5 linked regions of the Oryctolagus cuniculus genome follow. The protein of the gene in region 5 interacts with the protein of the main gene of each other region in a pairwise test. Links are inferred from orthologs where the notes say so. Each region holds a gene or a part of one and is shown on either strand. Other genes may lie near its edges. The genes, in order: CDC73, ESD, PBX3, CORO1A and FSD2.

Region 1 (5,618 bases), on a different chromosome or scaffold from region 5:
TCCAGGCATTTTTCTGCCAAACCTTTTGCTAACTTTCTCAAAGCACTCTCCCAGTAAGTAGATGTTATTATTCTTTGACCCTCCAGAAAGTCAATAAGCAAAAAGCAATGCATATCCCAAAAACCTGTTGCCATGCCCTTGGTTCTTGACTGGTTTGCTTTTGCTGTGATGGCCCCACTTCCAGCTCTTGGTAGACAGTACTCTGACTGTGCTGTCTTCAGAATTATGATGGTAAAGTCATATTTCTTCCAAGAAATGCTTCAGGATCTCAGTCCTATTTGTTTAAAATTTTCCACTGAGAGCTCTGCTCTTGTCTGCAGTTGACAAGCATGCAACAGTTTTGACATCCATCAAGCGGAAAAGTTTGCTCCACTTTAATTTTTCAGTCAGAGTGGTGTCAGCAGAACCAGCAGAGATGTTTGTGCTGTTGGCAATTGTTGCTGTTGTTAATCACTGGTATTCTTGAATTAGGACACAAAGAAGATCAAACTTTTTCTTCACAAATCAGTGTGGATGGTCTGCAGCTTTGAGCTTTATCTCCTACACCACCCTGTCTCTTAAATCAAGTAATCCATTTGTAAACTGCTGATTTCTTTGGGCTTTGTCTCCATAAACTTTTATAAGCAGAGGCTTCCCCATTCTTCCACGTAGGCATCATCAATTTGATGCTTGTTTTTGCTTCCATTTTAAAATAATTCACGTTGCTCTAACAGGAGCTCGTTTCAAACTGATGTTTTATCCTCCTCAGTGTCTTAAGCTAGATCTTGTTCAGACATGTTGTAATAAGTTAGAATGAGTTTACTTTGGTGAAAAAAATCTTAAAATCCATGCATACTTTTTTCATAATATGGATTTCCATAAACTTCTTTCAAAAATTATTGGAGGTACACACACACACACACACACACACGAGAGAGAGAGAGAGAGAGAAAGAGAGAGAGAAACATGCATACCTGCATGTGCAATCCCATCAGCCGGTTCACCCGCCACCTGCTCAGAGTGTTCTTGGTTATGCCATTCCAATGCCAGGAGCTGAAAAGTCTCCCATGAAGGTGGCAGAAAAGCAACTACCTAACCATTTACCACTGCCTCTCAGTGTCTGCATTAGCAGGAAGCTAAAGTCAAAAGACAGAGCCAGGGCCGGTGCCGCGGCTCACTTGGCTAATCCTCTGCCTGTGGCGCCAGCACCCTGGGGTTCTACTCCCAGATGGGGCGTCGGTTCTGTCCTGGTTGCTCCTCTTCCAGTCCAGCTCTCTGCTGTGGCCCAGGAGGGCAGTGGAGGATGGCCCAAGTGCTTGGGCCCTGCACCTGCATGGGAGACCAGGAGGAAGCACCTGGCTCCTGGCTTTGGATTGGCGCAGCATGCTGGCTGCAGCAGCCATTTGGGGGGTGAACCAACAGAAGGAAGACCTTTCTCTCTGTCTCTCTCACTGTCTAACTCTACCTGTCAAAAAAAAAAAAAAAAAAAAAAAGGACAGAGCCAGGAACTGAATCCAGATACTACAATGTGTTCTGCCCCTTCAGAACTTTTTTGAAGGCCACCATATTTAATAAAAATATGAGCCACATGAAATAATCCTTTAAACAGGTATGTGCCTGTAAGTCCTCTGTGCTGAAGCCAAAATGATGAGTGAGGCAAAAAAGGCATCTTTTCAAAGTGGAACTTACACTATAAGAATGTAAAAGCTAGGTGAGGTCAAGCAATAATTAAGTGCTACCAAGAAAATAAAACCGCTTAGAGCGCAATTAAAATGAAGTGCAGTGTATTTCAAATAGGACCGTTTACTGAGATCTGAATGAAATAAGAAATGCAATGATACACAATCATTTATTAAGATGATGGGATAGGAGCCAGCACTGTGGCGCAGCAGGTTAACGCCCTGGCCTGAAGTGCCAGCAACAAATATGGGTGCCGGTTCGAGACCCAGATGCTCCACTTCCATAGCAGCAGCTCTCTGCTATGGCCTGGGAAAACAGTAGAAGATGGCGCAAGTCCTTGGGCCCCTGAACCTGTGTGGGAGACCCAGAAGAAGCTGCTGGCTCCTGCTTTCTGATCGGCGCAGCTCCAGCCATTGCAGCCAATTGGGGAGTGAACAAGTGGATGGTCTCTCTCTGTGTAACTCTGACTGTCAAATAAATAAATAAATCTTTAACCAAAAAAAAAAAAAAAAAAAAAAAAAAGAGAGAGAGAGAGATGATGGGATAGCTGGTAAATACATATGGCACTATAACATACAGATGCATCATCTACTCAGCCAAAGTCAATCCAGTTAAAAACTGGCAGTCCACTGTAATGAAAACATGTGGATATGCAGCAGTATTAATGATTTTTTAGTGACCAAAAAATAGTGCTATTGTATAGGCAATAATTGCTTTTAGATAAAACTACACAGAAAATATTGTACAATTTCAAAGGTTTTCAAACAAATACAGAGCTAAAAAGTTAACATTAAGTAAGTTGCATAAGAGTGATACTTTAAAATACTTTAAAATACAATCAAAGATGGCTCATTCTTTTAAAGTAACAACACTTAGTGTAGATAAACATTAGAAGAAATAAAATCTTACTTTTAGCGAATATATCAACCGGTGATCCATCAGGCAAAAGCCATGGCCAACCTTTGAACTGCCAAGCAGGACCCTGTACAAAAACTGCTACGACCCGGTCCCTGCAAAGAGATAAGGGGATGAAGAGAGGGTGGTGGGAAGAGCGTCTCAGTCCTAAGCTTCAGTTACTGGAAATCCCCAAGAAAAGGGTCTCCTACCAACCCTCTTAGGAGGTGAATACAGTAAATACACTACCTTAACTTTCCAATATATCAGCGTTTAGAGCGCATTCATGACTGCTGTACTTCCCATACATTTGTTTTTGTACCCAAGCTTTTTAATATAACTGTATATACAATAATTCTGTGTGACTGATTTAGTCCTTTTGCTTTCCCTCCAATGAGAATAGCTGCTCACCCATTAACTGAAAAAGATGGTTTCACAGGAGAAAAATTTTAAATTCAAACACATCTTAAATATTTTATTTTTCTATGCCCTCATATTTCATGATTTTGTACAACATTCCATTAAACTGAGAATCTGTAAATAGTGCAATACACAGTTCAAGACTACAACTAAAGAGGAGGGAACAAAGCATTAACAATATGGTTTATATTAGTAACACACAGTGAGTATTTACTATTGAAGGCATTCTATATTACATATATTAACAAACCATCTTCATTCAAAGAACTCAAGAAACTCAACAACAAAACAATCCATTTAAGAAATGGATAAAGGACATGATCAGGCATTTTTCAAACGATGAAATACAAATGGCCAACAGACACATGAAAAAAAAAAAAAAAACAAGAAAGAAAAAAAGGCTCAGAAAACTGCAATGAGGTTTCACCTCAATCCAGTTACAATAGCTATCATCCAAAGATCAAAAAAACAATAGCCGGCGCCACGGCTCACTAGGCTAATCCTCCGCCTTGCGGCACCGGCACACCGGGTTCTAGTCCCAGTCGGGGCACCGGATTCTGTCCCGGTTGCCCCTCTTCCAGGCCAGCCCTCTGCTGTGGCCCGGGAGTGCAGTGGAGGATGGCCCAAGTGCTTGGGCCCTGCACCCCATGGGAGACCAGGAGAAGTACCTGGCTCCTGTCTTCGGATCAGCGCGGTGCACCGGCTGCAGCGGCCATTGGAGGGTGAACCAATGGCAAAAGGAAGACCTTTCTCTCTGTTTCTCTCTCTCACTGTCCACTCTGCCTGTCAAAAAATTAAAATAAATAAAATAAATTTAAAAAAAAAATAAATGATGGCAAGGATGTGAGGTAAAAAGGTACCCTAATCCACTGTTAGTGGGAATGTAAACTGGTACAACCATTATTGAAGACAGTATGGAGATTCCTCAGAGATCTGAATATATATCTACCATGTAAGATCTAGCCACCCCATTCCTGGGAATTTACTCAAGTGAAATGAAATCAGCATGTGAATTATTTGTGCCCCCATGTTTGCTGCAGTTCAACTGACAATAGATAAGATATGGAATCAACCCAGATGTCCATCAACTAATATCTAGATAAAGAAAATGTGGTATATGTACACACACACACAACACCATGAAATACTACTCAGCCATAAAAATTAATGAAATTCTTTTACAAAGAAATGGATGTAAATGGAAACCACTATGCTTAGTGAAATAAGCCTGTCTCAAAACTACCAATATCCCATTTTTTCTCTGATAAGTGGCAGTTAATACTGAATACAAAAGAATGTACAGGGATGAAATGGACATTCTGGAATATGATTGTTGTTCTAAGCTCTTGTTTATACTCCTGCGGAACAGTTGTCTTCCTTCTTTTATTTGTTGAATATTGTGATTAGTGGCAAATTAAGCCTCTGAATATAGAGTGGATTAAAATTATGTCTTTGCAAAAACTGATGAAGAGAGAGGAGGGATGGAGAGGGTGAGGGGCTGGTGGTGAACAGGGGAGTGAGAGAAGTGTGGTTGTCTTCTTGGAACTGTACGTATGGGAGTGCATGAAATCAGCTCTCTTTATATTAATAATAATAATTGAGATGACTATTATACAGCTCCATTTAGCAGATGAGGACACAGAAGTAAATGGGCACACTAGAGAATAGTCCACATGTGAGAAAGGGAGAAAGGAGGGAAAGGGAGAGAAGGCAGGAAGACAGGAGAATGAATCCTGGTCCTGGGTACTGGATAGGCTCCTGTTCCTGCTGTGGGATTAATAACAACAGCCATCTCAGTGTTACCATGACAACCATTCTGACCTGGAAATTCTCTGAAAGGGTGTTGGGAATGTCTAAAGCCTTGCAGGCCACATTTTGATAACCACGGCAAGAGACAAATACTCTATATTAAACCAGGGTTATCTTTTATTCAAATGAAGATCTATAGAAACTATCGAAGTTATCATAAAAGACTATCAGTTTAAAATTCTTAGTCTGCTTAAGTCTTTGAAGGTAAAATGTGAAAGTTTAGCAAACTAAAAAGAATTTGCTGGATAGAGGTTATCTAGCTCCTACTTTGGTCTCACAATGGCAGGGGAACAGAATAATGTTTCTTGCCATTAATTTTTTTTGTTTTTTGACAGGCAGAGTTAGACAGTGAGAGAGAGAGAGAGACAGATAGAGAGAGAAAGGTCTTCCTTTTTCCATTGGTTCACCACCCCAGTGGCCACTACCGCCGGCGCACCGCCGATCCGAAGCCAGGAGCCAGGTGCTTCCTCCTGGTCTCCCATGTAGGTTCAGGGCCCAAGGACCTGGGCCATCCTCCACTGCCCTCCCGGGCCACAGCAGAGAGCTGGACTGGAAGAGGGGCAACCAGGACAGAATCCAGCGCCCCAACCGGGACCAGAACCGGGGATGCCGGCGCCACAGGCAGAGGCTTAGCCTAGTGAGCAGCGGCGTGGCCTGCCATCAATGGCCACTGCGGCCGGCACACCACGCTGACCCAAAGGCAGGAGCCAGGTGCTTCTCCTGGTCTCCCATGGGGTGCAGGGCCCAAGCACTTGGGCCATCCTCCACTGCACTCCCTGGCCACAGCAGAGAGCTGGCCCGGAAGAGGAGCAACCGGGACAGAATCCGGTGCCCCA
Region 2 (6,516 bases), on a different chromosome or scaffold from region 5:
GTTCCTCTTCTGAGGCAGGTGACTATCTACCCTGGACACTGCAGCACCCATCACCACTTCACCTTGGCTCTTAATTACCTTTGTGGCCTCAAGGCCTGGGGCTTAGTGAGAAACCTTTGCTGGGATAATGAAGAAATTGTATTTCTACTGTTAAGTAAATTAAAAATAGTCTCAAACTGGTATTTAGAAGTATGAGATGCAGTTGACAACTGAGAGTAAAAGAAACAGGAGTGGAGGAGAGGAAGGGCAAGGAAGATAGCTCTACCTGGCTCGGAGCGAGAGGCCAAACTTACCATGTGGGAAGGAAAAGGCGGGAGAGACAAGGCTGGAAAACCTCTGGGCTGACTGACTAGAAAGGACATGCTAAGAACACAGGCTAGGCTCATGAAGACGGCTGAGATGAATGATACAAAGTGAAAAGAGATGTACATGCATATGTAGAAACTGACATATGTATTTTTTTTTTGATTGGCATGTCTTATATAGGTTCTACTAAAGGTAAACAGGTGTATTTAGTTTCTAACATTGTGTGGCAGCAACAGGGTGACAGAGTTGGGTAAACAGCAAAGAACAAAACAATCTCTGCACCTGCCACACCAAAGACCCCAAAGACTTTTTCAATACCAGGAAGGAATTACATAATTTTTCTAGAAAGTTAACACTAATATTCTTTGGGAAAGAAAACATGTTCTTAGAACATGATACACGTGAATGGTCAAAAACCATTAAAGCCAATCTGGTTAAAGATGACTTACTTTCCTTTTTTTTTTTTTTTATTTACAAAGCATGCATTCCTAAAAGGCCAAATGGTCCCATCTAACTGTTCTTCTCTTTAATTTCAGAAGTGATCAGAAATCTGAGTTATTTCTATTTTTACCTATTCTCTCCTTCTCCAGTCTCCAGTTTCCTATATATATTTCTGCTTGTATTTTTTGTCCTCATTTCCTCAGATGCCTTGGATTTTGATCCATGTCTTCAATGCCAGTGTGTCCCCTCCACTAGCTCTTAACAACCTGGACAAAACCAGTGGATGGCAACGCAGCACCTGACGTTGCAACCACTGCCTCTGTTCAAATCCTCCTCCGTCAAACTCTGGGGCTCCCCCTCCCCATCTTCCTTTCCTCTTCCCCTAACCCCCTCACCTACATTCGACTGCATTTTCTGGGTGGAAGAATCTAAATTTGCACCTTCCTATCTAATCTTCCTCCACATTAGTGCCGGAAATGGAACTTCTTGCTGGAGCTTTCTGGCAAGGTATGTGAAGGTATGTTCACTCGCGAGCAAAATTCACCCAATCTAAAATCAAGCCTTTACATCTCCCGCCGTTAAACGTTTCTTTTGTTTGCCTCTATTTGCCGGACCCATGCTCTTCTTGTCAAATCTACATTGCAAGAATCCTGAAGTGATCTTTTGAATTCCCAGTGCCATCATCCTAATTATGCATAAGAAATTGAATTAAAACTTTGATTCCTCGTCTTTCTAGCAGTATGTCCCACTATAACCACTTCTGCATGAAAACACAGGGTTCTAATCCATATAAACCACTACTATCCCTATGAAGAGATCTTGGGGCCTAACTGAACTGAGCCTATGGTGCTTTGAATGTAGATGCCAGGCCCCATCAACTCTTCATCTCCCAAGGTCTCCTCAGCCTCCCTCCATTAACTTAGTATACTTGCTCTGTCTTGGCTTAGCAAATCAACCACTTACTAAAATCTCGCTGAATTGAGGGAGTGGTGCAGCAGCACCCACAAAGTTGAATCCCTGGACTCAACAGTTCTTTAGTTTCTCTAACAGTTAACACCTTCATGTTCTGCCTGGTCTCAAGGGTTTCTTTTCCAGTAACTTCAGGCCTGGAGCCCTCAGTAGACTGAAGCCTACTCTGACATAATCAAAATTCTCTAAAGGACGAAATTATTGCTGACTAACTGAAGGAGGGTCACACGCATGTCAAAGCAACTAGGAACCTGGGCACTAGCAAAGTATGGGCCTCTCAAGCCCAACTTGAACCTGTAAGACCCTGTCCGTGTTACCCCTGGCTGGCGGGGGCCAGGGACTGAAGCCGTAGCTGCCTGACTCCTTGCTCTGTACTCTACAACAAACATTTCCTTTCCTCCACTAGCCTGATGTCACTGATTGGCTTTCTGCACGTTAGAGGAGAGGACCCAACTTGGGGGGTTCTATAGCAATTCCTCCAACCAGTCTGAGGGCTGTTCTGTGGTGTAACATGGCCTCCACAGAACTATTATTCATTTTTATTTTTAAAATTGTGAAAATAACATTTACTGTCTTAACCATTTGTAATTACCTATTTCAGTAGTGCTAAGTATATCACTTAGTCATTTTTAAGAAACAGGATTAGCTAGCCCAAATTAATCCGCAAATAATAAATGTTTGACCACACCCTGGCTTTGACAGGTTTAGCGAGCTAATCTGACTTGGCCATCAGACCAGTAGTTAAGAACCAATAAGTCATGCAAATTGAAGACAATGCAGTCAATTATATAATTTTCTTGATGTTTGGTGCCTTTATACTTTCACAAAGTCCAATCTATGAAGGAGTGCTGACAAAAAGGCAAGGACAAATGAAGTCCCAAATATCTTTGTCACATTTTACCTAATTTACCTATTGCTAAGCAGTGTCTTCCATAAAAGTGCACAAGGCCTGATCACTGACCAACATCTAATCCACTGTGGGGAAGGACGGCATCTGTCAACTCTGAATACTTTCACCTGGCTCTAAGATCTGAATTTTGGGCCCGACCCTATTTTTCTGGTCTCCCCTTACTTCCCTCGAATCCAATGACATATCATTCCAGGATGGCCTGGATGTTTCTATTGGGTGGCTGTCCCTGAGGCCGTTGTATAACGGTCTCTGCACAGGTTCTCCAACCAGATCTTCGAGGTCAAATTCCGGTTTTACCACTTAACTGCCACACGAATTTGGGCAAGCTATTTAATCCAAGGCCTCATTTCCCCGTCTGCAAAATGGGTATATAATCTATCGATTTGCTAGGGCTGCTCCAGGAATGAAAGTTCATTCATGCTTGCTATAGGCAGCACATACACGTTAGTTTTCCTGCAGCCAGCAATGCCATCTCCACGAGGATCCCAAAAGAAACGCCCCCAAGCCCGTCCCGACACACCTCTGCGGGCACTTTACACCCCTGAGACTTCGCGGACCGCGAAGATGGGGCATCCCGGTCTGCGGTCCCCGGGGTGCGCCGCTGACCGCGCCCCCGGGTCAAGGTCGCCCCCCCCACCCCCCCCGAGAGCAGGGCCCAGGGCTGCAGGCCAGCCAGCGGCGCCACCAATGCTCCGAGGGGCTGTGCGCGCCCCGGCACGGGCCCAGGAGGCGGAGAGGGGCTGGCCAAGTGGCTGGCACGAGAACTACGCCAGCCTCCCGTGCGGCGCAGAAGCACGCCCGAGCGCCCCGGGTGACTGGCGGGCTCAGCGCAGCAAATGGGATTAGGAAGCGAGGCGCGCGCCCCGGGCCGGGATCGCTGTCCCCACGTCCAGCCCGGGGACCTTCAGGGCTGCAGGCCTTGGCGTCCGTCCCCAGAGGGCCCTACCGCGTCACTGTTGCAACCCCAGGCTCAGGCGGGCCAAGGACGTCCAGGTGTTTCGCCAGGATCGGGTCTTACCTGTAGCGGAAGCCCCGGTGCAGAAGCAATGGAGCCGTAGGGAAGGGCTGGGAGTCAATATGGCCACGGGGGACCAGGCCGGCCCCGCCCACACTAGGCCCCACCCCTCCCCGGGCCCGCCCCCTCTCGTCCGAACGCTGCGGCCGGGTCCTCCTTCGGCCCCGCCTCCTTCTCCAGGCGCTTCCCGGCGTCCTCCGCGTGGGCGGCCGCCCCTCCCCCTGCCCGTCTCGTTCTCCCTCCTCCCCGCGTGGTTGCGTCAGCAGCGAGGCGGGCGTTTGAAGCTGGAAGGGCTCGCCTGCTGCGGGGTCAGCTAGCGGGGTGCGCCCGCAGGAGGCCGAGGCTTTAATAAAGCTGAGGTCTGGCTTCGCTTAACTCGTGGAAAGGGTTTACGGTTATTTAGAAACCAGGGCCCCCAACTTGGTATCTGCGTGAAACAGGAGGCAATTGGAATCGCCGGTGGCCGGGCAGGTGGTGGGAACCCTCTCCACGTCCTGGTTTTAATTCTTCCCTCAGTAAAAGCTGACCTGAGAGTTGCTGGTTATTGCAAATCGTCCCTTCATTCTTGGCTTCTCGGATTTAACCAAACTTATCCCAAAGAGCTAAATGTGTCCACCAGTGTTTGTAGGAACAAGTGGTTGGAATGCCAAGTTGTAAACAGGCACTTTGTTCTGACTTGCTGGGCAGACAACTTGTGTGTCTAGGGCTGCTGATGGGAAGGGCTGCACGCTTGGGTTGGTCTCTCAAGAGTTGTTGAAGGCGAGCTCTCCGTTTTCATGTTCTATAGGACCTTGCGGGTTTTGGAGCTGATTTTGCTGAGTAAGGGAACCTGTCGGCTAGCATGAATGAGCTGCCACCAGGAGATGATGTGTTGAATCTGCTGTGTGCCGCACGTCCTTGCCATAAATACCTTTTGAACCGAACTAACCTGTGGCCTGCATCTGTGGGCCTGTGGATACACTGAGACTCAGGCTGAAAACAATGTATATGCAAAACCACGTTTTTGTGAAAGCGTTGACGTAAAAGGTTTTTAGTTCCTTTTTTGCTGATTTAAAATATAAATCACTGAAGAGTGGATTTTCCTCAAATTGAGTTTCACAGCTAAAACGGATCGCAGTTTGGATGTTACCATTTCCTTAGAACTGATGAATATTTGAGCAAAGTTACAGATGTTCATTTAATAAATTGATGCCTTGTGAGGTACAAACTAGCCTAAGATCTGTAAGTGTGAAGTCCTTTTACTAAAGGGTTAGTGTATTAATACAGTGTGATAGTAATCAGAACTGAAATTTCTTTTACCCAGCATAAATAAAAGGATAACATCCACAACATTTATTTCTTTAAATTAGTAGGAGTATATTTTTTATTTGCATAGAAGGGCAAACTAAGCTGAAATCAGAAATTAAGGATGACATTTCAGATAATGAAACATAATAAAAAGTGAGTAAATCTTAACTACCAAGTAAGTGATCCAAAATTAAATTTATGGCTGAGAAGAGTTAGGGACTATCAGTTTGCACTATAATGAGTCGGATGTGATCTTAGGTAGGCAACAAAATGATACAATGAAAGTGAAAGAACCCAAAACCAGGTGAAGCCTCTGGAAAGGAAATTGTCTTAGGCTCAGCTGCTGTAACAAAAATCCTAGATATCGGGTGGCTTAACGGAAATCTATTCTTCACGTTAATTTATTTGTCCCAATTCTGAAGGTTGTAAGTCCAGTATGAGCTGTGGGCCTTTCTGTTACTGGTGAGAGCTCTCTTCCTGTTAGGAGAAGTGATGCATTCTTGTTCAACCCTCACTTGACAGAGTGAAGGCAAGCTCTGGTCTCTTCGTCTTTCAAGGAAAAGCACTAGTGCCATCGATAAGGACTCCAGTCTCATTCCTCCTGAAGTAATTACCTCTCCCAAAGGGCTCACCTCCACATTCTGTCACATTATAGATTTAGGTATCAACATGTGAGTTTCGGGAGACACAAACCTTCAGTCTAGAGCAGAGATGATTCTCAGCAAGTCTAGAAACGGTGTTGTACATGGAGAATGACATCATGTACTGAATGTTAGGGATGCTGCTTGAGAAGTGGTTTTACAGCTTTTCTATAGATAAATCAAGGTTTCTCAGTGTTGGCGTTGGAGCTAAATCATGCTTGGTTGTGGGAGGCCATCTTGCACTTTGTAAGCTGCTTAATAATATCTTTGCCCTCTACTGGCCAGACACTACTGGCACCTCCAACATGCTTGCATACCCAAAATGTCTCTAGAAATTGACAAATGTCCACTGGTGCAGCGGTGAGGAAAGGGTGGCAAAATCAGCCCTAGTTGAGAACCATTGGTCTTAATAGGTATTTTCGAAAGAGCCCTTTATTTTGATGGTATTCTCACCTAGAGACATTTCAGAAAAGAATAGCCTCACTTGTTATTTAATAAATCAGAATGTAGCTTAATAATGCCTTAGTCTCAGGTGAATCTAGTTGAAATGATAAATTTCCTAAGAGACTTATTTTTTCTGAATGTGATGTTTACTTAATAAAATTGAGTTTCTGAATGTGTACTCCTCTGAGGACCAGACTTTGGACCTTGGCAACTCAACCAAGTATTGCAGCCTTGTAGCCCTATGCCAGTGTTCTTTCTTAACTTTATAGCAACTACAGAGCAAACTAGAATAGACAGTACAGACAGACCTTAACAGTAGTTGTTTCCATCTCCTATTCACTTTGCAAAGATCCAAATTTCATGCATTGATTTCCATTTTATTTTTCTGGTGTTTTTTTTCTAACTCCTTTAAATTCTAATTCCTACAGTTCTTTTTACAGTACATTCCTAGTATCTGTTGCTCCTTCTGTGTCTCCAAAAGGGCCAAAGGTTAAAATGTAACT
Region 3 (5,739 bases), on a different chromosome or scaffold from region 5:
CAGAAATGTAATTCAGAGAGGGACAGGTCAAACAAAGCCTTAAATGCCAAGTTAAGGAGAATGTGTGTGCGTTACCCAGCCCTGACAAGCTACTGTGGATTTTAAGCAAAGCAATGAGGGCATCCTAGTGATGCAGAGAAGCAGAGAAGATGAGTGGAAGGTGGGCGAGAGGGGAGTAAGGCTGGAAGCAGAGGACTGGGGGAACCATGCTAGTCAAGGAACAAAAGGAAAAGCATAAGTAGCACAACAAAAGATGAAAGAAAGGGGCCGACATGAACACATTGCGAATGAAGCACTGGGGGAGTTCTAGTCACTGATTCAGTGTGGGAGGGGAAGGAACCAAAAGCAACACAGAGTTCTGCTTAATTAGAAAAATGGCAGTATAATCAGGTGGCAACATGACAGAGAAGCTCTCCTGTCCAGTGGCTCACTCTCCAAAATTCCCACACACAGATGGAGCCTCATCAGGCTGAAGCCAGGAGCCCAGAATTCAATGTGGGTCTTCCACAGATTGCAGGGACCCGAGTACTTGAACCACTACTGCCTCCAGTGTGTGCATCAGCAGGAAGCTGGAATCGCAAACAAGGCTAGGAGTTGAACCCGGCCACTCTGACGTGGGGAGTGGGCTTCCCAAGTGGCATGGTGATAACTACACCAAAATGTTGCCCCATAAGACATTTTTCTTATTTATATATTTCTTAAGATTTATTCATTTATTTGAAAGGCAGAGATTCAGAGAAAGAAGGAGAGAGAGAGAGAGAGAGACACATATTGCTCATCTGTTGGTTCACATCCCAGATGGCCAAAACAGCTGGAGCCAGGCCAGTCCAAAGGCAGGAGCCAGAAGCTTCTTTCGGGTCTCTCACCATAGGTACAAGGGCCCAAGACCTTGGACCATTCTCCCCTGCTTTCCCACACACATTAGCAGGGAGCTGGATCAGAAGTGGAGCAGCTGGGACTTGAACTGGTGCCCAAATAGGACGCCAGCACTGTAGCCAGAGGCTTAACCTTCTAGCCACAGCACTGGCCCCACCATAAAACATTTTACTTGGCTCTACAGAGGAGCTCTGGAATGAAGACTGTTCGACATACTTTGTTTTCAAAAAAAAAAAAAAAAAAAAAGACCTTATTTTCTTTAATATAGTGAGATGTAGATGATAATTATCACCTCTGTCAAATTCCAAGGGGTAGAAAGAAAAACAAAATAGAAACTCCCTTCTGAAACTGAAGATTGATTATAAGCCTCAACAACATCCAAGAGGCACCCCACGGAGGTAGCATGTATGAGGACCTGGACTATTCTGTCACTCATTAGGTCACCACGTACAATTTACTACTACAGGTAACGTATTACCTAACTGCTGTGAAACTTGGTGAAAGCTTCAAATAAAAGGGAAATTTCATCCTTACAGGAGAAACTGAGAGACTTTCTCACTTGATTAGAAAGATAGTGTCTGGGATTTTATGGTAACTTCTATCAGGTGAAATACCAATTCCTGCTTAGGACTATCAATACCTCTAAGTATTTTCTCATAATATGTACAAGCAACATAACTTTAAGGAATTCTTAGACATACATACCATTGTTAAAACAGAATTATATGCAGAAAATTATCCTTAAAAATCCTGTCTAGCATCAGAATTGAAAGGCTACCTAGCCCGAAAGCAGTAGTGCTCACTCTATCCGTCTCCTGAATCCGAAACTGGCAGCTCACTGCACAGCCACCCCCAGACATCAAGGGACTTCACAGCAGAGTTTTACCTGTCCACTGCAGAGAAGAGCTCTGATAGCCGAATTAAACAAGAACTGATGAGCAACCGGCTGATCTCATAGAAAATTATATAAAAGGAGTGAAGGAGGGGGAAAGGGAGCGGGGTGGAGCCATGCAATAGATTTATTTATGACCTCACATACCTGGCATCAAGGAACCTTGATCTTAAAATCATAACGGCTTCACAAGTGCTTTGTTTGAGCTGCATCTGAATAGAACTAAATTTTCGATGGATGATGCCCACCATTCTTTCAATCTCTTTTGGGGAAATGGGACGTGTTCTACTCTGTTCTCGTAGAAGGTTCATCACATGTGTAGTGAATTCATTACATGCCTGTAATGGGGAAAAAAAAATCATTCCTTAGCAATCTGATATTTTATATCATCACACTCAGACATGAACTCATCTGACTTTCCACTTCATTTACAATCACCAATGGCATTATGCAGGGCAGGGTAAAATGAAAGCTAGGACACTTGTGAAATGGTGGTGAGGTAGGTGGGGCACCAATTCTGAAACTATGAATGGTCAGACATGCAAGGGAGACACAGCATTCAAGTGCCCTTCCTACCACCTTTGTCCCAGTTCCAAAATAAAGTTTTCCCATTAGAGGATGCTCTCTACCAACTCCTATGTCTAAGTAATAATATATGTTAACTATGTACTAAACATCTTCTATTTTCTCTGTGGTTTTACATTTTTCAACAAATGTTTACTTAGGACTAAGTAGTTCAAACTCTTACAAGTGTTGTAAGGGATACAGAGATGAGCAAGGTGTAGACCTGGCCTTTAGTGAGATAAAATACATAAAAAACTAACTCTCACAAAGCAAGCAGTGCAAAGTCTACCAGGAAGTTATTAAGAAGTGCTTTGTAATTTCCAAGGAGAGGGTAGTCTCATATGGAGGCTTCACGGTGAAAGCGGTATCTGGGCTTTGAAGAATGGGTAGGACTTTTAAAAGGGAGACGAAGATGGAAGTCAAAAGAAATTCTAGGCATAAGAAAAACTCTACAAAGAGTATGTGGCAAGATGGGAGAATGGCTAATAGGAAAAGAGCATGTAGAGAACTGGGGACTTGGGTTTGGATTAGCACATAAAGGGCCTTGTACGCACACCACTGGGTAGCTGTGGTATAGGCCCAGACTCACGTCACCCTGTAAACAGCTCAGCTCTTCAGGGGAGGGACTGCAGGAAAACAGGGATCAGATCTGGGTCTCAAATATTCTAGTTAACAATCTCAGATACTGTCCATTTAAGTTCACCTATAGTCTTTCAGTCTACAAAACCACATTAACTGGGCCTCCATTGAAATCCCATACTGCCTTAGGAAATAAAGTATCAGTATATACATCTGAAGAAAAAGAACATTTTCTGGCATTTTCGTTAAAAAGGCAGGATGAAAAAGTCTGTATCCTACTGAACTCATGGCCTGGCAGGGTGAGCAGACAGAACAATCATTGATCAATGCAAGACATATTTTGAAGCTATAATAATGTCCACTCCCATATAGATAACCTGGCATGGTTCACATAAAGCACATTATGGTTTTCCTAACTGCTCATTAGAGAACTAACCACCAAGTATATTGAATGTTTCACATATTCTAAGCTTTTCTATAAATATTTCTAAGGTGAGGTAAAGTTAGTCTTGCTTACTGTTAGTCTTTTAAAGTCTTCAGAAATTCTAAGTCCCTTCTGAGTAATGACCTTATGGTATATACTTCTGGTATTCCTCTGCTTAGGGCATACAATAACCATCTGCAGATTTACACTGTCAGTGCTAGAGTAAGTGTGGTTAATATCCACAGGTCCAGGGATAGGCTTAGACCATCTGCAATCCTTGAAATCCTATGCAAGCTGTGTGCACCTGTATATTTCCTGGAGGAGAATCTGTGGAGTTTTCTTTGCTTTCAGATTCTCAAACAGTTTATAACTAAAAAAATGTTAATAATTATTGTCTTAGGTTATGATACAGTACAATATTAAACAGACTAAAACTAGTTCTTCTGTCTTTAAGAAAACCAAAAATTTTTGAAATAAATTTAAGATCTTCCCCTACTGTATTATCAATTTCAACTGTTTATGCCAAGCTGGAAATAAGTGGTCACTCTGTCAAGAAATACATGTATACATTTTTTATCTTGAATTTCTCTAAGGAGATATTTACAGAATTTCCAAATTATATAACTAGACACACTCTAGTCTTCAGTTTTCTCATCAGTAAAATGAAGAAAATTGATTAATAACTTTTCTCAAACTAGGATTAGCAAATTTTATAGTTCTATAGCTAGATCCATAAAATACACATTTTTGAATTTATTTATTGGGACTGGCACTGTGGTATAGTAGGCTGAATCTCTACCTGTGGTGCCGGCATCCCGAATCGCTGCTGCTTCATGTGCCAGCTGTTCCTCTTCCAATCCAACTCTCTGCTACAGCCTGGGAGAGCAGTAGAAGATGGCCCAAGTTCTTGGGCCCCTGCACCCATGTGGGAGACCTGGAAGAAGCTCCTGGCTCCTGGCTTTAGATTGGTCCAGCTCTGGTTGTTGCAGCCATTTGGAGAGTGAACCAGTAAGACCTTTCTCTCTGTCTCTCCCTCTCTCTCTGTAACTCTACTTCTCAAATAAATAAAAAAATCTCAAAAAAAGAGTTATTTATTATCTATTTGAAAGGCAGACAGAGAGATCTTCTACCCCTGGTTCACTCTCTAAATGGTTACAACAGCCAACTCTGGCCAGGCTGAAGCCAGGGCCCAAGAACTCCATCCTGGTCTCCCAAGTGGGTGCAGGGGCCCAAGCACTTGGGCCATCTTTCACTGCCTCACCAGCACATGAGCATGGAGCTGAATGGAAGCAGAGTCCCGGCCCTGAATTAGCATTCTGATATAGGCTGCTGGCTCTGCAAGAGACAGCTTAACCTGCACCACGGCACTGGCCCCTGGATCCACAGAATATTAACAGATGTTCCAAAAATACAGCATGGGGCCAGTGCTATGGTGTAACAGGTTCAGCTGCCGCCTGTAGTGCTGGCATCCAGTTCGAGTACTGGCTGTTCTACTTCCAATGCAGCTACCTGCTAATGTGCCTGAGAAAGCAGCACAAGATGGCCCAAGTCCTTGGACCCTGCCACACACATGGGAGACCTGGATGAAGATCCTGGGCCCTGGCTTTGGTCATTTGGGGAGTGAAGCAGTGGAGGGAAGATCTCTCTATCTCTCCCTGTTTCTAACTCTGCTTTTCAAATAAATAAAATAAATCTTTTTAAAAAAAATACAGTATGTTTGGGGACTTGCTAGGTTAACCTAAATTCTAAATGAATTTTTTGCAGCATTCCTTTATATTTCTATGTAAAAGTACATCATAAATTTTCAAGGAGAAGTAGTATATCCAACTTCCCCCAAAAAAATTTGGTCATAAAACTTCATATCTTTAGATCAGTGCTATATAGCAGAAATTTATCGAGAGCCACTTAGGAAATTTTTAAAAATAATAAGAATCTAAAGAATCTGGTGAAATAAATTTTTTAACAATGTATTTTATTTAATCAGTGTTGAAAAATATTAACTTTTAAAATATGTAATTAATTTTTTAAAAATCTTTAATTTGGTATTTTACATTCTGTTATGTTTTACTCCTTGAACTCCAGTATGCATTTTACATTAATAGCCCAGCTCTGAGTACTTACAGCCAGACCTTAAGTGCTCACTAGCTATACACGGCTGGTAGCTATCCCGCTGGACAGCACAGCTGAAGGCATCTTGTGGAGCAATGTGCTAAGAGAAACTCTTTGGGGAAAAACCACAGCAGACGAGTTTTCCTTTTTCAGCCCTTCACCACTATGCGTTCACACAAGCATGCACCAAGGCCAGCAGTGTCCTTAACGGAGCAGCGCGTTATTTATCTTACTACATTTCAGCACTTGGGTAGCTCTACTGTTCCGTGTGGACAAAGTGGGAAGCCGCAGAAAG
Region 4 (6,230 bases), on a different chromosome or scaffold from region 5:
GTTGATGGAAGATGCGGATTATTAAAAATAGTGTGCACGTATCTTCCCTGCGTGGGCATCTGTGTGAGCCTGTTCTGACTGGCTTATCCCACCTGGTGCTGAGACAGCCACTGTGGGCGCCGCGCTGGCCTCCCAGCCGCCTTCCAGGCCCAGTGGTCAGGGAGGTGACTGTGCGATGCCGGAGCAGCAGCAGGAAGGCCAGCTCACGGGAGGCACAGGGAGCCCGGCACCTCCCCGTCTGTGGACACCTGCTTCGCACGGCTTCCCTGCTCTGGCCTCACATCTGCCCCGGGCAGCAGCTCCACGCCGGCCCACCTCTTTCATATATATATATATATATATATATATATATATATATATATATATAAAGATTTATGTATTTATTTATTTATTTGAAAGTCAGAGTTACATAGAGAGAGAAGAAGAGGCAGAGGGGCAGAGGGGGAGAGAGAGAGAGAGAGAGAGAGAGAGAGAGAGAGAGAGAGAGAGGTCTTCCACCCATTGGTTCACTTTCCAATTGGCTGCAACTGCCAGAGCTGCGCCAAACTGAAGCCAGGAGCCAGGAGCCTTTTCCGGGTCTCCCACATGGGTGCAGGGACCCAAGGACTTGGGCCATCTTCCACTGCTTTCCCAGGCCACAGCAGAGAGCTGGATCAGAAGTGGAGCAGCCAGGACTCGAACCAGTGTCCATATGGGATGCCGGCACTGCAGGTGGTGGCTCTACTCACTACGCCACAGCGCTGGCCCTTAGCTATTCTATTCTATTCTATTCTTTGAGAGGCAGGGAGAGAAAGAGTGTATTCCCAGTGTTCCCATCTGCTGGCTCATTCCCCAAATGCCCACAAGAGCCAGGGGCTGGGAACTCCACCCGGATCTCCCACGTGGTGGCCAGGACTCCAGTAGTTGAGCCATCACTCCTCCCAAGGTGTGCATGAGCAGGAAGCTGGGGTCAGGGGCAGGGCCAGGACTCAAACCCAGGCCCAGGCCCCCTGATAGGGGATGCAGGTGTCCCAAGTGGTATCTTAACCCTGGTGCCTAACACCTCTCCCCCAGCCATCATTCCTGTTCCCTCAGGTGGAGACTGAACCTCACTGACCCTGCTCCATCCTGGCCCTTTCTGGCCCACTGTGGCTCAGTAGCAGGCCAATCCAACATCTTTTTTTTTTTTTTAAAGATTTATTTATGGGGTCAGTGCTTTGGCGTAATGGGTAAAGCCCCTCTCCCCCTGCAATGCCGGCATCTCATATGTGCACCGGTTCAAGTCCTGGCTGCTCCACTTCCTCTCTAACTCCGCCTTTCTTATTTATTTCTTAAGATTTATTTATTTACTTACTTACTTACTTGAAAGGCATAGTTACAGATAGAGAGAGGGAGAGATGGAGAGAAAGGTCTTATCCACTAGTTCACTCCCCAAATGGCCACAGTGGCTGGAGCTCTGGCAATCCAAAGCCAGGAGCCAGGAGCTTTTTCCAGGTCTCCCACGTGGGTGCAGGGGCCCAAGCACTTGGGCCATCTTCTTCTGCTTTCCCAGGCCATAGCAGAGAGCTGGATTGGAAGTGGAGCAGCTGGGACTCGAACCGGCGCCCATGTGGGATGTCTGTACTGCCGACAGCGGCTTCACCCACTACACCGCAGCACCAGCCTCCCCACACCCCCCCTTTTTTAAACAATGGCATCATCTGTTGAACCCATCCACATCCACTGCCTCCATGGAACCTCGCAACTTTTTGCAGGGAGCAGGAACAAATCTTATTTATCCCCCATTGACAGATGAGGAAACCGAGATTCAGAGAGGGCTGGCCTCTTGCCCAAGATCACACAGCCAGTCAGCGGGGGAGGTGGGACTTCCGCCAGCCCCTCGCAGCTCCGGAACTTCCTCACTCCGCGGGCTCTGGCCTTATGAGGCCCCGGGCCTGGGCGCTGGCTTAGCCTTTGGAGGTCACCATAAAGCTGACACTTGTCTTCAGAAGTCATGCTTAAAGCTTTGCTCGGGTCATTTTTGGTAACCATCCCCATAACCCTATGAGGCAGGGGCTCCTGTTAGGGAGGGAGAAACAGAGAGGTCAAGGGACCTGCCCAGGTCACTCAGCAGGTGCGCTGGCCTGGAGTCTCTGGAGTAGAACCCTCTCTGGGTTGCCGCCGCCAGGAAGCCCCACTAAATCCAATGACAGGAATGAACTCTCCCCGCGGGAGTTTGGCCTGGAGCTGCTGCCTCTGCTTCTAGCCGGCTGCCAGCGCTCCAGGGGCCCGCGGATGACCCCTTCCAGCAGAATCCCCCACCCCCCTGCCCGGGTAGCTCCCGCCACGCCCAGTGTTTCTGCGGAGCGGGGGTGAGGGGGCAGGGATGCTCCGCGGGAAGACACGAGACCCCCCGCCCCAGCCCGTTCGTCCGTATAGGAGCTGCGCCAAGGACCCAGGGCCCGGGGCCGCGCCAGGCTGTCCGCGCTCCGCTCCGTCCCGTCGGGGCCACAGCCGGGCTGCGGGGCGCGCGCGGCTCTCGAAGGGCGGCCCTCGTCGGGGCCAGGGCCGGGGTGGGCCGGAGCGGGGAAGGCGGCGCGGGGCGTGTGCGCACCTGCGCCGTGCGGGTTCGGTCCCGGCGACCCGGCAGCCGCCGGCGCCCGGCCGGGTGCCCGCAGGCAGGGCGGAGCGCGCGGCGGCCGCGGAGCAGGGCAGGGCCGGCCCCTCCGCGAGCTCCGCCCAAAGGGGCGCTGCCACCCGAGGAGGCGGCGCACGGCTGCTTCTCATTCATTGTCTGACAAGAGCATCCTCCGCCGCCAGCCTCGGCTCCTGCGGCTCCTTCCTCCTCCTCCTCCTCTTCTTCCTCTCCCTCCTCCGTCCGGGGGTCCGCTCACCTCTCGCAGCAGGTAAGGCCGGGCTCCGGGGGGAGCGGGCCGGGCTGGCCGCGGGGACCCAGAGTCACTGCCCCGGGCCACCTGTGGGGCAGGCGAGAGCGTGGGCGCCGCGGGCTGTCAGGCGGCCTGGCCCTGCGGGGGGACGGGGCCCTGGGCGCTCTGGGCAGGTGCGGGTGAGGGAGCTCCGCGGCCAGCATGGAGGTGGGGGGGGGGCGCAGCAGGAGCGGGGGTCCGGGCAGATGCGGCGCCCGAGTCTCTGCGGGTGGGGGTGGGGGGCAGGGTGGGGTGAGCCGAGCAGCTGCCCTGAGCCTGACGACAGGAAGGGGTTGCGAGCAAAACAAGACAAGACCAAGTTCCCCTTTCCGTGGTTTCCGGGCCTGGTACCTGCGGTGGGGGAGGAGGCAGGGTGGGTCGATGGTTTCCTGTCCCCCACCTCTGATGTGGGGCTCCCTCTCCCCAGACCCCGGCTGCCCACCTGTCCTACAGGCTGGGTCCCCATCACACAAGCGCCTCACCTCCTTTCTGGCCAAGCAGGTCCACAGGCTTCTTTGGGGGTGCCTGGGGGGCAGGGGGGGTTCGAGCCGGAAGCAGGAAGAGGCCAGACCCCAAGCAGGCTAGTATGGGCATGGCTAGGGAGGTGGGCACGTGCCCTTGCAAGGTGGCACACGAGGGAGCCCTGGGCACCAGGATCTGCCCAGGGCTTCGCTTGCCCCCCTGCCCCCCTCGCTGGACCTCAGGGAAGTGGCGTCCGCCTCTCCCTCCCTGTGTGCAGTTCCGATGGGGGTGCATATGGCACTCATGGGCACCTGCTTTTTTTCTGAGCGGAGGCGGGAAGAGGAGGTGTGGGGAGGAGATACTGGGACCCAAGCCATCGCCTGATTCTGGCGCCCAGAGACCTACGGGGGAAGCCATCATGCTGCCGCGTTCCCTCCTGGGCAGGCCCACGCTCCACTTCCCGAGTGTCCAGCTGGGTGGTGGCAGGCCAGCCCTGCCCCTGCCCCACAGGCGTGTGGGCGTGAGGGCCGTGGGCTCTGATGCTGCAGTGAGAGAGACCCCCTCACCCCCACCCCATGGCCTGGGCCAATGCCCCCACACCGGAGCCATTCCGGAGGAAGGCCCCACAGCTTTCCGTCAGTCAGCAAACTGGGGGAGCCCTGGGGGCTGCCACCCCCAGCCCTGCTGAGGCTGCGGGTGCAGGATGGAGAGGGTGGTTTGAGTGGCTGTGGTGGGAGCAGCAGGTGGCTCGCTGGTCAGGCAGGAGCGAGGAGGGGCGGGGGAAGGCCCACATGGGGGGTGATGCTGGGACCCTAAAATCCAGACTGGGTATCCCCAGGGGAGACAGGCTCTCGGCCCCTGTGCCCGCAGAATGAGCCGGCAGGTGGTCCGCTCCAGCAAGTTCCGCCACGTGTTTGGACAGCCGGCCAAGGCCGACCAGTGCTATGAGGACGTGCGTGTCTCCCAGACCACCTGGGACAGTGGCTTCTGTGCCGTCAACCCCAAGTTCCTGGCCCTGATCTGTGAGGCCAGCGGGGGCGGGGCCTTCCTGGTGCTGCCCCTCTGCAAGGTGAGCCCCCTGGGGGGCCTGGGACCGTGGCTCCCCTACCTCGGGGCGCCTCTGTGGGTTGGACGAGGTGACTGTCACCAAGCCTTCCCAGGCTGTGGTGGTGCCCCCTGTGGAGCTGAGCTGGGCCAGAGGAGCTCCTGGGGCGGGGACAGGACAGTGCAGGGAGGGCTGCGGGCCCAGCGCCGGGGCTCCCAGGCCTCACTCAGCCTGGGGGGCTCTTTCTCCCCTTGGAAGCTCAGGGAGGGTGGGCTGGGGGCCGGGGGGGCCCAGCAGTGTTCTCAGGGCTGAGCCAGCTCTACCCCCAGCTCAGCTGTTGCCAGCGGCCCGTGGCCTTGTTGTGTTGACTGCCACCCCCCACCCCCCGGCACAGTCCTGTGCTCTTTGGAGGGCAAGACAGGAAGGGAGGGGGGCCCTAAATTGTTACCTTAAAAGGGCCGATGGCAGCCAAGAGGAGAGGAAGTGGTTGTCGGGGTGAGCTGGGCCCGCGCCCCGCACGGCTCCCCCCACAGGAAGCCCTGCTGAGGCAGCAGGCCCCGGAAGAGGCCATTTCCCAACCTCTGCTCCAGCCTGGGGCCTCTTTCCCTTTGCCAGTTCCCACCCCTGCAGCCCCCCCCCCCCCCAAATTGCCACCCCTTCCCCGGCAAGCCCCAGCCCTACTGGGGTTCAGGGCCCCGGCTGGGAGTGTTCATGCAAGCCTCCCACAGGGAAGCTGGGGTGGGGGTGGGGACCCTCAGGGCACAGACAAGACAGGGAGATGGGCAGAGCTGGGCCAGGCTGTCCCGGGCTGTGCCGCGTGTGTCCAGCCTTCCTGGAGTTTGCCCAGGAGCCCCTGGGAAGGGGGCAACGAGCTGGGCCCACTGTGGGGGGGAGAGGGCAGGCACCACAGACCCCTGCTGGGCTTCTCTGAGGGGTGGAGGGGCGGGGCGGGGCTTCCAGGGCAAAGGCACCTGTCCAAGGCCCCGCCCGCCCTGTAGACTGGACGTGTGGACAAGAACGCGCCCACGGTCTGCGGCCACACTGCCCCTGTGCTGGACATCGCCTGGTGCCCACATAATGACAACGTCATCGCCAGCGGCTCTGAGGACTGCACCGTCATGGTGAGCGCCGCTGGGTACGCGCCCGAGGGGGCTGCAGGGTGGGATCCGATATTCGGAGCCCCGAGGACTCACCGGCCCCTTCTCGGCAGGTGTGGGAGATCCCTGATGGGGGCCTGACGCTGCCCCTGCGGGAGCCCGTGGTCACCCTGGAGGGCCACACCAAGCGTGTGGGCATCGTGGCCTGGCACCCCACGGCTCAGAACGTGCTGCTCAGCGCAGGTGCGTGGGGGGGGGGCGGGGGAGCGTCCCCGCGTGCCTGAGGGCGGGGCCTCAGGCGTCTGACACTCAGGGATCACGCAGGTTGTGACAACGTGATCCTGGTGTGGGATGTGGGCACGGGGGCGGCCGTGCTGACGCTGGGCTCGGATGTGCACCCGGACACCGTCTACAGCGTCGACTGGAGCCGCGACGGCGCCCTCATCTGCACCTCGTGCCGCGACAAGCGCCTGCGCATCATCGAGCCCCGCAAAGGCACTGTCGTGGTGGTGAGCGGCTGGGAAGGCCGGCCCCCGCCCCCGAGGCCTTTACCCCTCCTTCCCGCCGTGCACCGAGCTCCCGGCTGCAGCCCCAACCTCCTCCCTTGCCCCTAGGAGAAGGACCGGCCCCACGAAGGCACCCGGCCCGTGCACGCCGTGTTCGTGTCTGACGGCAAGATCCTGACCACAGGCTTCAGCCGCATGAGCGAGCGGCAGGTGGCGCTGTGGGACACGGTGCGTG
Region 5 (5,739 bases):
CCTTTTAATGCATTGTTTAATTTGCTATAATTTTTGGAAGATTTTGCATCTATTTGGTCTGAAAGTTTTGTTCCTCATAGTGTCTTTGTGTGGCTTTCGTATCACAGTATAATGCTGGCCTCATGAAATAAATTTGGGAATGTCCTTTTCTCTTCAATTTTTGGGGAGCGTTTGATTCCTTTGGGTTCTGGTAGAACTCGTGAGTGAAGTCACCTGGCCCTCGGCTTTTCTTCGGTGAGAATTTTTATTACTGCTCCAATCTCTTTAATCATTAGTGTCTGCTCGTATTTTCAATTTCTTTATGAATCCATCTACGCAGATTGTATGTTCCTCGGAGTTTATCCATTGCTTCTGTGTTATCCAGTTTGTTCACTGTGTTGCCTCAGGAGCCTTTGCATTTCTGTGACACCAGTTGTAATATCTCCTCCTCTTTCATTTCTACTTTTATCAGAGTCTCCTTTCTTTTCTTAGTCTAGCTAAAGGTTTGTCTGTTTTGTTTATCTTTTTGAAGAACCAACTCTTTTTTGTCTTTTTTGTCTATTATTTTCAAGTCTCAATTTAATTTCTTATCTAGGCTTTACCATTTCCTTCCTTCTGATAAATTTAGGCTCATGAATCATGCATAAATCAACTGATCTTGAGAAAGGAGTCGAGAACATTCAATGGGAAAGGATATTCTCTGTTGACACATGGGATTAGGGAACTGGATCTCTATATGAAAAGCATGAAATCTGACCCGATCTTAAACCATACACAGAAATGAACTACACTGTATAGATTTAAATGTCAGACTTTCAACTATAAAAAAATTCTTGAAATTGGTCTTGGAAAGATTTCTTGGATGTGACATCAAATCACAGGCAAAAAGCAAAAAGCAAAAAAAAAAAAAAAAAAAAAAAGCAAAGGAAGCCATCGATAGAACAAAGAGAAAAACTATAAAGCTAAAGAAAATATCTTCAAACCTTTTCACTGAAAAGAAACTGATATGCAAAGTGTATCAGAATCTCCTACAACTTAGCAGCAAAAACAAAATCCACTCCCCAAAACACCACCGCCAACCAAAACATCCAAACAACCCAACTAAAAATGAGCAAAGAGCTAGAATAGCCATTTCTCCAGAGAGGACACACAAATGGCCAGTAAGCATATGAAACAGTGCTCAACCTCACAAATCATCAAGGAAAGGCAGCTCAAAAGCAGAGTGGCATATCACCCCACACCTACTCGGATAGCTATTATCAAAAAGCAAAAGTAACAAGTATTGATGAAGATGCAGAGAACTGCAACCCTCGTATTCTGTTGGCGGGAATGTGGAATGATATAGCCAACATGGAAAACAAAGAGATACCTGTACACCCACGTCCACTGTAGCATTTTTCACAGTAGCCACAGTATGGAGATAACCTAAGTGTCTGTCAGTAGAAGAGTGGATAAAGGGAATGTGATCTATCTATCGTGAAAAGTACTATCCAGCCTTAAAAAAGAAAGAAGTCCCACCATTTATGAAAACGGATGAGGCTGGAGGGTATAATGCTGACTGCAATAAGCCAATCACAGAAGAATAAATACCGCCTGATTCCACTTAGAAGAAGTGCACAGAGGCAGAGAGCCGAGCGGTCACGTGGGGAGGGGAGGAGCTGGGGAGCTGGTCTCAGTGGTTGCGGATTCCGTTAGGTGAGAAGACCGGGACCTGGAGGTGCGCCCCACAAGGTCGGCCCCACAGCTAGCAAGACAGAGTGTGCACTTTAAGATGGAGAGAGAGAGAGAGCGAGAGAGAGAGAGAGAGAGAGAGAGAGCGCGAGAGCGAGCGCGTGGTGCACGTTCCTACCACAAAAATGCAAAAGCACAAGGCGGAAGCCCCGGGGAATCCGCGCTGGCGTGCAGTGGGCGTGGGTGAGAGGCCCACCTGGAATGCTGTTAATGGAGCCCATCAGCTCTTCCACGTCCGAGAAGTCCAAGGTCTGCTCTTCAAAGTCGGGCTGTGCAGAGATTTCCACATCTGTTTTTGTTTTCAGGAACTTCCCGAGTCTGTTGGTATAAGCACACGTGTTGGGGTTTGTGCCTGACCCAGCAGTTAAGACACTGCGTCCCATATTGGGGTGCCTGGTTCTGCTCCCAATCCCAGCTCCCTGCTAATGCAGACCTGGGAGGCAGCAGATGATGGCTCAAGTAGTTGGGCCCCTGCCATCCACGTGGGAGACCTGGATTGAGTTTTCAAGTCCCTCACTCAGGCCTCTGCCCAGTCCCAGCCATTGTAGGTATGTGAGGAGTGAGCCAGCAGATAAGAGTGCCCTCTTTTTTTTTTTTTTTTTAAGATTTTATTTATTTATCTGAGATGCAGAGTTAGAGAGGGAGATACAAAAAGGTCTTCCATCCGCCGGTTCACTTCCCAAGTGGCTGCAATGGCAAGAGCTGGGCTGATCCAAAATCAGGAGCCAAGAGCTTCCTCCAGGTCTCCCACGTGGGTTCAGGGGTACATGGGCCATCTTCCACTGCTTTCCCAGCCCATTAGGAGAGAGCTGGATCAGAAGAGAAGCAGCTGGGACAGGAACTGGCACCCATATGGGATGCCAGCGCCACAGGCGGAGGCTTAGCCTACTGTGCCGCAGTGTAGGCCCCAAGTGTGCCCTCTTAAGCACACACGAACAAGAATGGAGGCCTAACCTCCTTAGGGTGATTCTCGTCCTGGGTCTCTCACTGGGGACATGCTGAACTTCCTTCCCTGTAGTGGGACATGCTCTGGCTGCCTTCTGCTAGCTGCTTCAGTGACTGACCGAGGGGCTCACCAGCGGGATGGGTGGGATTAGCCTGTGCCTTTACGGGTGAGGAGAAAGGGGCAGGTCCCATCAGAAGGTGGCGTGGGGCACCTGCCAGTGAGATCCGGAACCACACCTCCTGGAAGATCTCCCACGAGCTAGCCTGGAGGCCCCCTTCCCACGCCATGCTGGGCCCTGTGGTGTACAGAGGATTCAGACTTCCTAGGGGGCTTCCTGCTCCCACGGCCGAGTGCCCTCGAGCTGCTGACTGTGGTCCTTTGCGTCCTCCTGCACCTGCCTCCTGGCAGTCGCAGGGTTTGTAAATGGCAGAGGCAGAATCTGAAACCAGGTCTGGCTTTGCCAAAACCCCTGCACGTAACCCTTACTTGATTAAGCTCCTGTGCTCCTGTTGCTGGATGTAGACACCGTCTATCTGGTTATCACAAACCCATCCTTGTTTGTCTGTTAGGAAGGAGGGTCCTAGGTCAGCTGGGCTTCCCCAGGCTCTCGGGGGTAGCGGGAATCGAGCCTCTGAGCGCCTGACTCTGAAATGCGCACCTTCTGCAGCTGCTAGGCCGGGGCCCGGCAAAGCCCACCCTTGGCTAACGAGGGGGTCTACCCTCAGGCCTCATCGGGCACAGTCCCCTCCAGCCCTGAACACTGAGATTCAGTACTGGGGGTCCTTGTGTCCCCTCGCCGACACTCCGAAGCCAGTGCTATTTTACTCTTAGGATCAGAGACAGAAGCCGAATCGGAAGCCTTTGACCAAGAGGAGCTGGGTCGATTTGGCTCTCTAGAGCCGAAGGAAGCAGCAGCCAGAATGCACGGCTTACCTGTCGGCCATGGCCACTGCGTCCTAGGGAGGAAACGGAGAAAAGATTACACTCGCTTTGGAAAAAGATTGTTTTTTCAAAGTAGGAAATCATATCAATGTATTTTTAAACTTGGAAGTTAGGAAAAGGGAACAGTAATCATTAGTTGCTTTCTCCATGCCTCTGCCTTTTCTTCCATGCCGCTGGTTTTTTCCCATCAGCACTCGGGGCAGAGAACATCCAGTCCATGGACCACAGAAAGCTGTGAAATCACTGGGTCTGGCCCTGCCAAGGCAAGCACAGGCCGGACTGGAAATGCAATCGACCTACAGCGGGCTCGGTTTTAAGTTGAGAATTTTGTCTGGCCCGCAGATGCGGCTGTCAATACGCAAATGGATCTTGGCAGGAAAGAGGTTCCCCACGTCTGCAAGCCCTGTCTGTGTTACAAGCTGGGCCCCTGATTACAAAGATTGCAAGCAGCCCCCAGAACGGAAAAGCCCTCAGTGGCTTAATGGGTGCCCTGGTGGTGGTCGTTTCTCGGTGAGAACTTCTCCCTGAGTGTCCCTTTCTCTGCATTCTGGGGTCTGTCCTCATGACCCAGTGGCTCCACAGGGCCTCTGGTTGAAGCCGTCTGCATGTGGGGGCCTCTCCTGGTGCCAGGTTGTCCTCAAGTGTTAGCCCTGGGGCCCTTGCCCCCACGTGCCGGGAAGGAGGCACGGGGGCTTCATGGGGCACCTGTGGGCCTGGGTAAGGTGGGGTCCACGCTTGGCAGCCAGGAAGCTTCTGGAGGCTGAAGACCCCTCCCCTATACGGGATACCACGTCTCCCCCATACTCCTGTGGGGCCTTGTGACGAGAGGGCCCAGCTCTGAGACTGAAACTCCCCAGCCCAGCTGGAGGGGCTTGAGTCCAGTTTAATTTGATTTTTTTTTTACAGTTTATTTATTCATTTGAAAGGCAGAGTGAGTGAGAGAGCGAGAGCGAGAGGGAGAGAGAGGATAGAAGGAAGGGAGGGGGGAGAGGGGGAGAAAGAGAGAGAGAGAGAGAGAATGAGCTTCCATATACCAGTTTTGTTTTTTCCCCACATGCCCAAACTAGCTAGGGCTGAGCCAGACTGAAGCCAGGAGCCAGGAACTCAGTCCAGGTCTCCGACATGGATGCCAGGGACCCAAGTGCTTGAGCCATCACCTGCTGCCTTCTAGGGTTCACATCAGTAAGAAGCTGGACCAGAAGCAGAGGCGCCTAGGCTGGAACCAACCACTCTGATAAGGGATGTGGGTGCTCCAAGTGGCATTTTAACCACTGCGCCCAATGCCTGTCCAGAGAAATGGAATTCGGGTTGACATGCCTGTGTGAGTTGATGAAGTAAGATTGATCATGGCTACCCTGGTAACCAGCACGTCTCAGGTGACTTTATTGTAGCCTGGACAGTTTGCTCCCCAGAGCTCCAAGAAACCTTCAGCGGTGCCCAGAAAACCCTCAAGGCACTGTTTCTGCTCAGCCCCGGGATGAGGGCGCAGGTCTCCGGGTAATAGAAGAACAAACGCTGATGCTACCTCAACAATGCGGACAGACGCGCAGTCGGCTGTGTCTGACTTGCTGCAAAGCTACGCAGAGAGATGGGGCAGCGATCCCTCCGACATGAGCAGCGTCCACTCTGACACCTGTCGGTGGAGAGCGGACGGCCCCCCTACCCCAGCCATAACTGCTTTCCACTCACGGTTTCATTTCTCTCCCTCCCTTTCGTCACTGACCTTTAGGAAATCCACCTTCTCCTCGTGGCACATCTCCTCGATGGTTTCCATCAGTTCCTTACAGGTGTCAAGGTTCTCCCCGCAGCTGACCAGCTGCTCGTACAAGGCTTCCAGCTTCTCCTTCTTCTTCTGCCCCAGAGCTTGTATTTTTTCTTCATATTTTTGCGCGAGTGTTTCCAAGATCTCGTTGTAGTGTGACTCAAAGTTTTGTTCTTGTCTTCCGAAATTCTCCTGCAAGACAGTTGGCCTGGGTCACCCCTTCCTCTGGGGACCTGAGATGGATCTGCCCAGGGCTGTTTCAGTCCCCTGGCTTTGTCTTACCAGTTCTCACAGGATGGGGGTGAGCGGGCACTGGGGGAGCCAGGACACAGCGGTCTCCAGCTGGAACACCATGGATAATCTTGACAGAAAGCACGCC

What was found.
Region 1: the proteins of FSD2 (region 5) and CDC73 interact in binary tests that used the Homo sapiens proteins (3 or more experiments, as listed by UniProt). The two-hybrid records come from large-scale screens. The link is inferred for Oryctolagus cuniculus from reciprocal best matches to the Homo sapiens genes FSD2 and CDC73.
Region 2: the proteins of FSD2 (region 5) and ESD interact in binary tests that used the Homo sapiens proteins (3 or more experiments, as listed by UniProt). The two-hybrid records come from large-scale screens. The link is inferred for Oryctolagus cuniculus from reciprocal best matches to the Homo sapiens genes FSD2 and ESD.
Region 3: the proteins of FSD2 (region 5) and PBX3 interact in a two-hybrid assay, tested with the Homo sapiens proteins (3 studies listed by BioGRID and IntAct). The two-hybrid records come from large-scale screens. The link is inferred for Oryctolagus cuniculus from reciprocal best matches to the Homo sapiens genes FSD2 and PBX3.
Region 4: the proteins of FSD2 (region 5) and CORO1A interact in binary tests that used the Homo sapiens proteins (3 or more experiments, as listed by UniProt). The two-hybrid records come from large-scale screens. The link is inferred for Oryctolagus cuniculus from reciprocal best matches to the Homo sapiens genes FSD2 and CORO1A.

The regions. Positions count from the first base shown.
Region 1 is NC_091444.1:9,956,559-9,962,176, reverse strand, and holds part of CDC73 (parafibromin), read right to left. Parts: intron 2,670-5,618; coding exon 2,569-2,669; intron 2,148-2,568; coding exon 1,873-2,147; 3' UTR 1-1,872.
Region 2 is NC_091440.1:65,775,894-65,782,409, forward strand, and holds the start of ESD (S-formylglutathione hydrolase), read right to left. Parts: upstream 3,808-6,516; 5' UTR 3,645-3,807; intron 1-3,644.
Region 3 is NC_091432.1:229,672,322-229,678,060, reverse strand, and holds part of PBX3 (pre-B-cell leukemia transcription factor 3), read right to left. Parts: intron 2,107-5,739; coding exon 1,916-2,106; intron 1-1,915. UniProt on the Homo sapiens protein: Transcriptional activator that binds the sequence 5'-ATCAATCAA-3'.
Region 4 is NC_091450.1:7,505,883-7,512,112, forward strand, and holds the start of CORO1A (coronin-1A), read left to right. Parts: upstream 1-2,705; 5' UTR 2,706-2,864; intron 2,865-4,185; exon of another isoform or gene 4,186-4,217; 5' UTR 4,218-4,218; coding exon 4,219-4,416; intron 4,417-5,390; coding exon 5,391-5,513; intron 5,514-5,602; coding exon 5,603-5,732; intron 5,733-5,813; coding exon 5,814-5,998; intron 5,999-6,103; coding exon 6,104-6,223; intron 6,224-6,230. UniProt on the Homo sapiens protein: May be a crucial component of the cytoskeleton of highly motile cells, functioning both in the invagination of large pieces of plasma membrane, as well as in forming protrusions of the plasma membrane involved in cell locomotion.
Region 5 is NC_091443.1:101,652,783-101,658,521, forward strand, and holds part of FSD2 (fibronectin type III and SPRY domain-containing protein 2), read right to left. Parts: intron 5,553-5,739; coding exon 5,322-5,552; intron 3,613-5,321; coding exon 3,590-3,612; intron 2,029-3,589; coding exon 1,907-2,028; intron 1-1,906.